Styela clava: one gene and its partner. Each later gene encodes a partner of the first gene's protein in a complex. Links are inferred from orthologs where the notes say so. Each region holds a gene or a part of one and is shown in the gene's direction. Other genes may lie near its edges.

Region 1 (7,567 bases):
TCACTCCTGCTACAGCATTCTTGCATTATATGCATGCGGATCTAACCGCACAAAAGCATATATGAAGCAGCTCATTGGAAGCAGTTAGTCCCGTATAAGAGAAACAATCGATAACACAATTCTGTTTCACACAAGTTGACAGTTCGACTGTAAAACTGTGGCCTATTGGACCTGGTCGGTCATGAGAATATTACCAGTTGTATTTGATTTTATTGCTTCTTCGCACAGGTTGCAATAAACGCACTTCGAGTCCGCAAAGGTTTTCGCGGGTGAGAAAATATACTCCAGATAAAAATCAAATACAACAGAATTGTAACGAATTTCAAAATCGGAAATTCGCTGCAATTACGCGTTCGTTAAAAAGAGCCGACTTTTTCAGTGTATAATTGGCTTTCTGTCGCTCAATAATCAATCCAATGTCTTTCTATATTAATTTATTTGTGTTCGTGGTAACTAGCGGTTGCGTCGACTTACGACAAGGTGAAAGCATTTCTTCTTTAAAATGCCAATCGGCAATCTGTGAACGTAATAATGTGAGACTATATTGCCCGATTATATTTAATTTTGTTACATATTTTTGCGATCTTGCAAATTTGTTATCGTCGTTAGAAAAATCTCAATATCTGTTATAAATTTCCAGAAAGTACAACTTGATTCAGTACCTAATAATAATATATTTAAAATATATTAGTAAATGAAAAAATGAATATTCATCGCCTTGCTTTATTATTATTAATTTAATTGTGATCATGTTGGCGAAATAAAAGCAATAGGCTACTACTCAGAAAATATCATGACAATCCGTGGACACAAAAATGCGTGGTAAAGGCCCGATTATATTTTGTTTTGATTCATATTTTTGTGAATTCAACAAATCTGAGCTGTTCGCACAACGCTTACTAGTACTGTACGGCGTATCAATGTTGAGGCAGTATAGCAGGGGTCGGGAACCCATGGCTCGCGAGCCATATATGGCTCTTTTGGTGACGGCATATGGCTCTCAGAAAAATCTAATATCCCAAGACTAAGCTTACTATTGTTACGAGATTTCAAATTCTTTTATAGCCAAATTTGGCAGGAAATTCCCAATACGTTTGAGAACGCGCGTCCAGCACATGTCTATGTTATGTAAGATAATTACCAGACAGGCATTGTGACAAACAAGGGGATTCTGGAACATATATTGTGACATCACAGAGCGATAGAGTTTTCAAAACACTACGGAGATGCCTAAACGAAAAAGGGTGATGAGTATCGTAGATTTCCACATTGGGCTGCAAGTGAGCAGTGAGTGTGTTGATTTTTGAGTGAACATTTCAGGCCTGATTAAGTGAAGAAATGTTATATGGCTCGCACGGAAATGCAATTGAAGATATGTATATTCTATGGCTCTCTTGACCAAAAAGGTTCCCGACCCCTGCAGTATAGCAAACAATCCTAAGGGAAGATGCCCTGGTAATTCAGTATGTTCCCCAGCTTTTCCCTTTAGGGGGGGTGTTTCAAAATTTAGGGGGGGGGGGGGTAAATAATTTTCGATTAGAGATAAAACTAGGCTATTTGTATTCTTAAAAAAATGGTATGTATTTAAGAAACGATGTACATGGGGGGGGGGGGCCAAGTTGATTGACGGCGAGCCAAAATCCAGAGCAGAATGAAATTGTAGGGCCAGAAAAGGGGAGCGAGGAAAAGTGCGGGACGACACGGCTGGGGTTCAGGGCGCGCTTAAGCGCCCTGAGAAAATTCTGAGAAATAGGCACCAAAATAGGCTCTAAGCTTGATTTTTGATACACCTAGCATTGCAGTTTGTTATGTAATAAAATCAATAATTATAATATTTAACTGATAGAATTCTCGGGGAATAGATAACAAGCACGGCTTGCAACCGTAAATATATACTACCACGTTTCAACAAGTAATTTGCAACTGATAGTGACTAATGAAGTTACTTGCTCATGACATTGTATGAATGGCTACTTATGGCTTGTTTTGTTACACATTTCTAATTTTTTTGAACATGTTACTTTTGTATGAATTAAATTTTGAAATACGCTCGTCAACTGATCATAATGTTGTATTCCTTCAGAACTGAAATATTTTGTAAGGAGACAAATCGCTGAAGTTTGATTCTTTTCAATAAAGAAATAAAAACGCTGTCATTCATCTAAAAAACGTCTGTTTTCAGTTCCTAGTTTTCGTTTTGTGACATCTTTAAGCCTTCTTAATATATGGCTGACATCTAAAATACTGCAGTGTGTAATCATAATACCCATACCTATACATAAGATACCGGAATAATTCAATTGTTACGAAATAAACGTGCTTAAACTGTGATAATGATGTAACAATAGACGGTATCTAAAACTCAAAAGGTACCACATGAAGGGTTGAACTATTTCACTCAAGTTCGGCGGGCCATTTTAAATCGTCACACGGGCCGTAATTGGCCCGCAGACTGCGGTTTAGAACCCCTCAGTGTGGAATAGCACCTCAAAATTAGGGGGGGTGTTCGAAATTTTAGGGGGGGTGTTCACCCCCTATAGGGGGGGTGTAGGGAAATCACTGCCTGGTATACGTATACTACGGTAGCACCCGAAATTTCGCGTGTTGCAATGTCTAAAAAGCGTTTTTAATCGGTCGCGGACCATCATAAAACGAAACTTATGGTGTTCTCCGTTTTGTATTGCCGCTTTTCAATTTGGAAAATTCGGGTTGCCACCATCTATCGACGCGTGTGCCGACTAGTGTGTTTTCGTCGAAAATTCTTGAGTGAGTTGTGAAATCCAATCGTTTGATTATGGGACGCGCACAAGTGCAAGTGACCTGTCGCGTCTCCTGTTACCAAATTTTCGAATATTAAATTGCTATTCTAATAGTTGAATATTCGAATATATGCCCAGCCCTACTCAGTAACCAGTAATTATTGACTCGTTTAATGTTATGTGAATAAACTTGCTTTTTATGTTCTATGTAAATTCCAACGTAAATTGTAAATTGGCTGATAGTTAAGTTCCGCAAAATCGTTTGCGGCTCGCACGAATTTCTGGCTCGTTGCGGACTCATTCAAACGCTCCGCGGACTCATTTGAGATTGCAATGCGTCTACCAAAAATGCTTGAAAGCTAGAAACCAATGCAAAAAATACTTGATACGTTTGAAATTAAATATGCAAAGTCAACAAAAATCCGTATTACTGCACAAAAATTAGGATTATGTGAATTTTGGAAAATATTAAGTAATGCTGTATATTTTAGATATTGATATTATAATAGACTGTGCTGTTCGGAACTTTCGAAACTTGTTCTCTACAACCCCCCCTGTTTTCAGCCGTCAAACTCAGTTGGCTGTTAGTGAGTCCTCGCCCATTTTACTCCCGGTGTACCTACCTGACAAAAATGCTTTGTAATCCGGGATTAGGCTTGGGAATAAATGACTTTTTCAGCGAAAATTAATTTTCTCGTCTTTAATAATAAACTTCGGCAGCGAATGCTCCATGTAGTACCGGTAACATTCGAAATTTAGCTGGCGTTCAATCACTTCTTCAATCTTAGATTTTTAAAAACTTGAGAATAAATTACGTAAAATTAGCTTTCAGTTTGCATTTCAAGAATGGAAAGTATAGCAATGAGAATTACATCAATGGGTACAGGAAGAACTGTTTAAGGGCAAACTAGCCATAGTTCAATGATTTCAAACTTTTGAATGATAAACTGCGTCAAAATGGTTAGATTGAGAATGATCAAGCCGTTGTTAGCGATAGTGTATAGTCTGCTCGAACAAATAATTTCCAGAGAGGAGAGAGAGAGATTTATATTGGAGTGAGAAGTGTGAAACGCACACGAGTGCAGTTTCTAAAATATTTGTGAGTGTTTGTCTAGGTTAGCCCTGTAAAAAGTTTAATTGGCTTTCCTAGAACAAAAGGACCGATTTCCGAAAGGGCGATTTAAAAATTAATCATAACGATCCAAGTACATGTTCGGGCGTTTGGACTGGTTTTAGTAGGACTCGTTCAAGCGGGAAATAGGATAATAGTATCCTTTCTGCAAAGCATATAAATATATAATATATATTCTGTTGTGTGCTGGCGATGGCTTGCAACTAAGGACGAATTGCATAAGTTGTAAATATATTTCGTTTTATATATTCCTTGGATCCTTTATTCTGATTACGGTATGTGATTGTAACGTTAAGCTCCTATTCCTGCATGCAAATCTATATGCAGATATCAGGATACTGGGATATGGCGAAATGCTATTGGAAAATTTTCCCACCCTCCTGCCCTTGGTGCATCAGGCATTAAATACATCCTTACGACTGTACAATATATAACTTTATCTATTTTTAAGATCATTATTATTTAATGACAAAGCAACCTGTAGTTCTTGATTTTAGTAAAGTTAACAAAAATATAACTTAGTGCAGTAGTGTTATTATATTATTACTAATCAGATTCAGAAATATTTGATTTGAAACATTCTGATTCGATTGTAAAGGAATAGGCTATTTAAAAGATACATTATTCGAAAATACACTACTCATTATTTTAATTCTTATAATTTTTTTGTCATTTAGCCTACTTTTTAATTATTCAATCGGAATAAAAATATATTTCTGCTTTCAGTCTGGTTCTTATTCATTATTATTGTAATAAAACCATTCTTGTATTGATGGAGGCCTCTTTAAAAAATAGCATTGTTTCCGCTTTTAAGATGCATGGATTGTCACTACGAAGGTGAGTGATAATTTTTGAAAAGGTACACAGCACTACAGCACTATGGGATTGTAACATGTGGTATAGCCCAGGAAAGAGGAGTCAAGGGAAATTTGATTCGCTCTCTGTTAAAATTTTTTTATATCTTTTGTACAAAGTCCTCGTCACAAATATGTTATGTTTTAATAAAATAGTAAATATTCAGTTGCAGTTAGAAATTATTTGAAAATATGAATTTCCAGCGCAATCACAATCCTTATTTTGATAGTTGAGGAGGGGGGATTGCTTTGTATAAAAAAAATAAAAAATTTTGATTCATACTCAGACTTCTGAGTTCTGACTCCACATCTGTGGTGCGTTCTGGCTGTAATACTATTTAATTTCATAATATTTGAGATTTACTTGGCTAACTCTATTGCATGTTAGCTTATGACAAGATGGACGATGCTGTCCGCTAAACCTACCAGGCTTTCAGAATCATTCTTACATAACTTTTTTTTGCAGTGATGCCAGCAACTACTTAACTGAAATACTTACAGTTGTGAATGCAGTTGAAAGAGAAGATTGGATCGATAAAATTTTAGACGAAGTTCAAAAACAAACTTGTTAGTAGTCAATTTTTACACCATGTATAAAAACTTACTGCAGGGGCGGGCAAATTACTGACCGTGGGCCGGATCTGAAGGCCCACTTGTCTGCTAAAATTACGACTATAGTTTTTAGGAATAGAAATAAAAATATCGGCAAGAATAACGTACTGTGCCTCTTACTATTATATAAATGTTAGCCTAGATGTTGGACAACTGTTAATAAACTGTTTTTCATATTTAGTTTTGAGCCCCTGGCCCAGTAAACGAAGTCTATTACCTGTAACTGGCCCACTCAGAAAAGTAAATGTCCGACCCTGACTTACTGGCATGTTGAATTACGAAAAAATTTGAAAGTACCAAAAAAGGTACAAATATTCATTTCATTATTCGCTGAGGTAGGAGGAAAACATTGTTTGGCGTGTTTTACTAAAATTAATATTTATTCTGCTTTTTATCCAGATATGTTATTGCTTAATTTCTTTATTTCAATCGAGTGCATTTATATTATACATTCATATGTTTATGATTTCTATTCTTTCTGTATTCTGATAATATTCTGATATTATAATTCCTATTTAGTGTCAAGCAATATCATCGACGCAGATGTTATAGAAATTGCAATCAAAGAATGTAATGCAGAAGAAGATGGGGGGTATAGTATAGAAAGTTCTTTGTGTCTACAATGTTTTTTTTTATATTAGTGACATTTACTTCCATTGAATGGATGCACTTTCCTCTCACCCAGGATAAACATTAAAATTCTGTCCTACTGCGTCTATCTCTCCAATTACCTACAATGTACATTGCGTATCATTAGTTTCGTATTGCAATGTTTTTGGTGAATAATTCATTCCATCTTTTTTCGATTGTGTGTGAATAAAATTGTACGAAATCCAGAATAACCATTAATAAACTGTATTGTTAGTCAAAAGCAATATCCAATTTTGGTTCCAAGAATTTAATTTGTCTCGCGTTTTACCTTTCGTTTTTACAGTGATCAAGTATTCTCAGTGATCAATGCATTTGATATTCCAAAATATACATATTTGACAGAAAAGAAAAAATTTATCAAGTAAGGTATTTTTAAAAGTTGGTTTACATAGTTCATAACATTTGTAAGATATACCGGTAGCTTTCTGCAAGAGAATGTATTTCATTAAGCTATTTAAATGTACATCTTTTTAACCTTAGAAAAAGTGTATAGTTTATAAGGAATGGAAATTGGAACACGCATATTTTCAACAGTTCAGAGCACTGACGATATTGAAATTTGAATAAAGAGTGGGTGTGATGGCCTAGTTGTTAAAGCATTAGCCTTAACTGTGTCGGCATCACAGATGACAGAACTTGAGTTCAAATCCCATGCCCACCACTACACCTAGGTTGTGGGTAGGCAATGTCAAACAGGGAAGATTCCAGTTTTTTTTTAAATAGTAGCTTTTTAAACATTTGCTTTGGTAATAGGGTTATATCTTTGGACATTCAGCTTCAAAATATGTTTTTTTTAAATTATCGTATATATGTTAGTAGTATTCAATTTGATTCAGATATTCTGAGGCAAATGGTTGTGATGCAAAATTACTTTCCAAAGCCGAACACAAAGTAGAATTATTTCGTGAAAGATATCAATTATTACATCAAAGAACTATGAGGCATAAATTGTTCACTCCACCAATACCAGGTCAGTACTAAACATTTAAACAAGGATATCTATAACTTAGTAGCTGTAGCTTTGGTCTGTTTTATCTCAATCTACATGCACTGGTAATGGGTACTTACTGTCCTATGCTCTAATACTCTACTTGATCAACGACAGGTATGGAAGATGAGGCATCGAAAAAATTCAAATTAAGAACTGTTGAATATTTACTTGGTTGCTCTTCAAAATTAAAAGATGTCATTGCCCTCGGAATGTTATCACAACTGAAAGAGGTTTGTAATTTACACAACATTCCATGTTGAGTGACCTTCTTTGTATTACAAATACATATAGCAATTTTTTGCAGCAAATTTTTGATCTTGTTTATATATTTAAGCTCTTGTTCTCAATATATTGTGAATAAAAGTTAAAGGACATATAATATATATGCACAATTACCATCCTTTTAAATTTAAAAATTTACAGAGGAAATATTTCTTAGAAGATTTGACAGGAGCTGTTGAGTTGGACTTGTCACAAGCTGTAAGTTATTAGCATCTTTGAAGTTAGTTTTTGGACCTCTTCTTATGTGCAGAAATAGCAATCAATTTCATGATTGAATTGGTGTGAA
Region 2 (6,341 bases), on another chromosome or scaffold:
TTAAGAAAAACACAAATATATATCATAAATTCCATAATTGAGTATTTCTGATACTTGCCTACTTTTAATTGCTGAGTAATAAACTAGGTCAGGTCTTGATTTTCGGAAGATTCACTGTTAAGCGTACTTTAATGACTGGCGATTTTATCATGAAATGACAAGTATAAACAACTTCGCTGTATTTTTGGGCGGCAACGTTTCTGCTAATCGAACGATTATATGAGATTATTCAAGTATTAAAAGAATGCGGCCGCAGGCAATGATAATGTTAAAATCCTTTCATATATCAGCGTGTTAAAAAAGTAACACAAAATTTAATCCTAAAAAGTTGAGAAAAACGCAAATTATTTTGTCATTGCAACAAATCACGTCACAGATATCGATTCCAACTAAACTCTTAACATAGGAATCTATAGCATCCTATTTGACGTTCAGTACACTCAGTTTTAAAATCTTCTCTTTCACGCCTGGTTACTATAGTTACCATACGCTTTCACTTTGCAAGCATGATTTCATTTTCACCTCATGCTTCCACAGTCTGTTGCTGATGTTTATTCCATGCCCTCAATAGAGATAATCCAGACAGACGGAAGCAGAGTTGTGAAATTTTTGAAAAAATGTGCAGAGCACATCCGTCGCGAATCGACAAGATCATCTAGTCAACTTCAAACTCGGGTTGATTACAACCTTCAATTTACTTGGAGTGAAGATTCCACTTTTTACACACAACGAAAGATATCTACTTGTTTCCATACCAGATAAATATATTAAATCACCAAAGTACACGCTAACGATCGCAAAATTTAGTTTTATTTGAAGGCAGTCATGTTTTTCTTTTAAGGCGCCGTGAGTTGTTTTCCTTCTAATTTGGCGCCGCACGAACAAAAAGTTTGGAAACCGCTTCACTAATATATTGCAATACGCATATCAATTATAAAAGAAAGAGAGTAAATTGTATAAGAATAATTATTTATTATTAGTGTTAAAAACATAATAATATAATACAGATTTATTATAATGTTTTTACACATTAGTGTTCTGTAACCGGAACTCCAGAATCCAAATCACATACATGCGGGTAACACACCAATGGTCGATATTAAGAATTTTCTACAGCATTTTATGATATAGGATTTCATATTTAGGTGTTATATTGTTTCAATGAAAACGAAACTGTTGATTATGATGATTCACGAAGTCACGAGGATAGTCGATGCTGTGAACACGTGAGAAGGTAAAATAGGAATGAAATATAAAATGGCGATTTCGATACCCGGACGTTTAGAGATTCTCCTATTTCTGATTCTACTTCAGAATTTTGAAAATCCTTTGAGAAGCACATTGTAAATTAAGGTCTGGTTTCAGCTTGATTCTAATCCCACTCTGGCAACCAGATTGTCTGAGTTGTCAAAACGTGCGCGTCAAGTTCTTCTATCGTAAATTGTTTTTAATACAACGACAATTTAACGCACAATTTACCAGTAGTTGTTAAAAAATATAGAAAATGATACTGCAAATTTGATGCCAATTTAAACAAATGTTTGAACAAGCTAATCTTACCGTAATGGCAGCGCTTTATAATATGTTGTATATATATACAATTACATTGTCAACAATGTTTAAGGTCAAGCGGTCATATTTTGTAATTAAGTTAAGTTCTTGAATTCGAAACTTAGTATTTTATGTTCCGGGCGGATTGGGGATTAAGTGTTTGGGCAAAACATTTTTTCGAAACACTTCTACTTTGAAAATTGAATTTAATTGAAGGTTAGATACGTGTACAGTCATACGATAAATTTGTTTCAATAAATTCGGAAACAAGATTTCAGTATGGAAATTTATAATCAAGTAAAGTAATTGAAACTTATAGCATTGTTCTCCCCATTGAATAATATTTGATATATTGCATGTACAGTACGATCTTTGTTTTGGTAACGATCCCTACTCTATAGAAGCTATTCAATGGTCCGGCAACTTTAGCGCGAAAGCACAGTCCAAGTAAGAAATCGTTGCGCGATGATCGATAAATCTAAAGTCTCTGTCAAGTGCCAATTTTATGATGTGATTCGTAATGTAACGATGATTACTACGGGAATGATTCCAGTAGCAAAGATGGCGATTGCTATACTTCCCTTCACAATTCGAAACACCTCACAATTTATATCCCGGTTGTATCGATGAGTGATATTCATTCATCCGTGTTTATTCGATTTTGGGGTAAAAGCAAACAATGGTAGTAATTTGGAATGTCTGGATCTTGATGGCGTTTCTTCTGCTACAAATAGAAACTCAGGCTGCTATAGCCTACTCATATTATTTTTAATCCCAATGTTTATATATAAAAGAGGTTTGGAACATGCTTCACTACTATCTCTTCCAAAGAAAACTATACCTTTGTTGAACAGATCATTGTCGCTGTTCTATGGATGTAGCATCGGACATCAGTACATTCTTGATGTTTTTTATTGTTAGGCAAATAACGATGTATAACTTGAATATTTTAGTCAATAAAAGTTCTGTTCACTTATGCTCTTAGTATTAACAAGACAATTTCATGCCATAGAGTCAGTTGTGGGATTCAGCCGGTTCGCATCGGTTCTATAGAACCGTCTCACGGAATTTTATGAGATCAGCGAACCGGTTAGCATTACTGCTTATTGTCAATGTTCTGTTTGTAACAGAACCGGCTGAATTATATGACTTTTGTGAAGGAACTGACTGACAAAAAATTTGAATCCCACCACTGCATAGAGTGTGCCATGTGGGAGTAAACGGTTACTGGAGCGATTTGATAACAGGAATTGAGCGTATTAGGTAAAAGATGAACCGGACACGAGTAAGAAGTACACAACACCAAACCTCCAGTTATTCCTATCCTGCTAATCTGTGCGTTAGTTGCCTGGCATCACCTTCTCAAAAATCTCCCGACTTTCGCGGAGCACGAGTTCGTATCTTCGTAAAATAAAAATCGAGAACAGCCATGGCGTAGTCTGTCAAGCTGGCGGAATATAAAAACGTGTTCTCGTGAATAAAATGGAACAGCCAAACTTTGGATAAGATATCTAATTTTATAGGATTTATAGAACAAGAGAGCTGTGCTCAAATATATGGAAACGTCACAAGGTGTCGCTATTATTTATTCTGACACATAAAAACGAATCTCTTGAAGTCCAAGTCCACAGAAATTTTTGAAATAAGTAAAAGTAATAGCCTTCTGGCAAAAAATCAATCTTTAACTACTGAAAATTTCAAAGCAATTGGTCCAGTATTTGAAGAGAAAAGCGATTTCATCATGGCGAAAGAGAATAATAACAACGACAACAACAACATAATATTGAAACGATCGTTATGTACTCTGACGTGTCCAAAAATCAGGAATGAATAAAGGTAATAGGCTTCTAACAATCTTCAACCACTGTAAATTTTAAAGCGATAGGTTCAGTAATTGAGGAGAAAGGCGATTTTTTCCATAACAAGAGAAGAAGAATTCTAACAACACAATACCAAAACGATCCACAGATTTATTTCGTGTCTAACAAGAAGAAGGAATACCAACTACAAAATATCAGATCGTATCCGAAAAAAAGGCATAGTGGGGTCGAAGGTCGGCGTAGATGTTCGCGGTGCTGTATAGATTTTCAAATTTACGTTTTTTAGACTGTTCAGCTTTTGGGTGTCAGGGGGATGGATATATTTGATACAAATGTCTACAAATGATACAAAAAAAAAAAAAAAGTCTATACAAGTGTATGTAATTATTAGATAAATAATAATTGGAAAAACTTTTTTTACATCCTTCATCTTAAAAATATTTGTAATCTTATACGGTAAATGATGATTATGAAAAAAGGGAATTATGGAAAAAATGAACGGTGATGAATTCTTCCTTGGAACAACCATGAAAAACATATTTAACATATTAATAATGTACTGTTGGTAATTTTTTTGATATTATTCTATTTGTTATTTTTTAATATATATTATAGCCTATATTCTGTATATTTGATCAAACGCGGAAATTGCTGTTCGATTATTTGAGTTGCATGTTGCATGGGTGAACAGGCACATGCATTTCTGCTGTTTTAAACCTTACTAAAGGTTTTGCCTGTTGTCCCGTCCCGATTTTCCCCATTGTTCTGTGTGTTCATCCTTATGTTTTGTGTGTTTGTTGTTTGTTTCGTGAATTTTTTTTTCAGGGAAGATCGAAATAAACTTATTATATTATTATAAAAGTTCAGTTTATGTCAAAATAAATTTGAATTTAATAGCACTAGGTTTATATCAAAATCGTCTGAGAAAAAACAAAATATATCAATAAGTGAGTTAGGCTAGTCTACTGGTACAATGTCACAATATAACAGTACGAGTACCGGTAGGCTATTTAGGTGTTATGGCATCACTGCATTAAGCTCCGCACAATCTGTCAACATACAGATTTAATTGAGTTGATATTTTTCATAGAGAAGTGACAAGTTCGTTCATAAAAATTGCTTTAAAGTCTTTATGCTGGTATGATGCAATTGCTGAATTGAATGGTCACTATGGAATTGATTCGGTATCTATGCAACTAGTGACAGAGTGAATTATGTACCGATATATTGAGAAGTGTATTTTTGACTGGTTTATTCGTCATGTATTCATGGAATTTTTATTCAGCCTATCCATATATGGTTTGTATGAATACTTTACTGCCTTATACTTTACACATCAATAGTATTATAATATAAAATTGATGAGTTTTTCCAGTTTCAATTTCATACCGTATAGTCTGATAGTCTAGGTATAATTACTATCTGTACTGTAGTTACAAAAGATGAGTGAGGAAACTGTTGAAGTCAACGAATCCAATGATGACATTGAGAACACAAATGATCACACAGATCAAGACGGAGAAAAAAGTGAAAAACTTTGCAGACTTCCTATTGCTCGTATAAAAACTTTGATAAAAGCAGATCAAGATGTTAACATTGCTAGTCAAGAATCTGTTTTCTTAATAGCCAAAGCAACCGAACTTTTTATCGAACAATTATCGAGAGATGTTTATAGAGTAACACAAGGAAATAAAAGAAAAACAATTCAGAAGAAAGATTTGGATATGGTGCTGGAAATTAATGACGAACTGGCATTTTTAGAGGGAACATTGGACTGATATGATTTTAGCAATCATATTGGAATGCAATACTTTATTTTGTACTCTAATAAGAAGTGTTCCTCATTTGGATTTTGCCTAAACTGCTCAATATGTCATGAAAGTGTGGAATATGTGATAGGCACATTACATATCTGGTTTTACTGTGTATTTACTGATATAAGCTTGCATTTGTCATCCTTGCTTATAATTTGGGAAAATTAACTTGGAAATTGTACTACTGCATCTAATTAGACATCCCAAACATTCTAGTTTTTCCTTGAGCTTTTGTTCATTAGATATTTTTTTGATTTGGTATTTCTTGTATCTATTTGAAGAAAGTTTAAAGTTACTTCTGTTAAAGCAAAATTGAATTTTTTTGCACAACATAATTGTTATACCATTTATTAGTAAGATTATCTTAGTTGTGCATATAATGTATTAGCACCACTTGAACGAAACGAATCTAGTATGTCTAAGGTTGAGTTATTTTTTTATATTCTACCTATTTTGTAATATGTTATATATTGTGACACTATCACTCTGAACATCAAAAACCTGAGATGGTGAGGTTTTACATTGAGACATGAGAGATCTCGTAGTATCAAAATATGCAGGGTCAATGGATATGATTCTGGCTACTGCACAAAATGAACTGCCATTTACACTTTTTTCTCTTTATTTCTATGGTTATATCATGATCTATTAGTATGGATGAATTATCAGATCATACATTAAAATTTTCCGGGAATATAAATACTACTCTTTCATCATCATTCTCATCTTCAATTGGCAAGACTGAATTAACAGATTCATCGACAGCAAGTTGTTCATCGACTCATGATCTAGTAAGAGCGACATTGCAAGATGTGATTGGACTTCAACACAATGCAATAGAACAAATGTTAGAAACAAAAGAGAGACATAAACTTAACTATGTTATGAAAACAACTTATGACGAGGTAAAATTAGTGCGAGTAGCATCAAATAGTAGATTACCTAAATACCACCAAAATTCAGGTCCCAATCACTAATTATTTATTTTTAATATTCAGTTATTTTTTTTATTTATCGTAGTCTTAATTTGTTCATTTTAACTTGTTTTGTGTTTGGAAAAATTTGAGAAGATTTGAATGTTTTAAGCTTTTATTGTGGGAAAACCTGATTTGGCCCAGACCCACCCAGACTCTGCGTCCAGTGGCCCCTAGGTAAA

The links. Proteins that work in one complex are often made in the same cells at the same time.
Region 2: DNA polymerase epsilon subunit 2-like (region 1) and DNA polymerase epsilon subunit 4-like share a complex: the UniProt entries of both Homo sapiens proteins name them as parts of the DNA polymerase epsilon complex. The link is inferred for Styela clava from reciprocal best matches to the Homo sapiens genes POLE2 and POLE4.

What each region holds. Positions count from the first base shown.
Region 1 is NC_135253.1:16,331,385-16,338,951, forward strand, and holds the start of DNA polymerase epsilon subunit 2-like, read left to right. Parts: upstream 1-4,560; 5' UTR 4,561-4,663; coding exon 4,664-4,728; intron 4,729-5,211; coding exon 5,212-5,312; intron 5,313-5,876; coding exon 5,877-5,949; intron 5,950-6,291; coding exon 6,292-6,369; intron 6,370-6,844; coding exon 6,845-6,978; intron 6,979-7,113; coding exon 7,114-7,229; intron 7,230-7,422; coding exon 7,423-7,479; intron 7,480-7,567. UniProt on the Homo sapiens protein: Accessory component of the DNA polymerase epsilon complex. Participates in DNA repair and in chromosomal DNA replication.
Region 2 is NC_135254.1:9,451,255-9,457,595, forward strand, and holds DNA polymerase epsilon subunit 4-like, read left to right. Parts: upstream 1-4,398; 5' UTR 4,399-4,813; coding exon 4,814-5,149; 3' UTR 5,150-5,837; downstream 5,838-6,341. Other genes in the region: spermatogenesis-associated protein 24-like, read left to right, coding at 5,839-6,090. UniProt on the Homo sapiens protein: Accessory component of the DNA polymerase epsilon complex. Participates in DNA repair and in chromosomal DNA replication.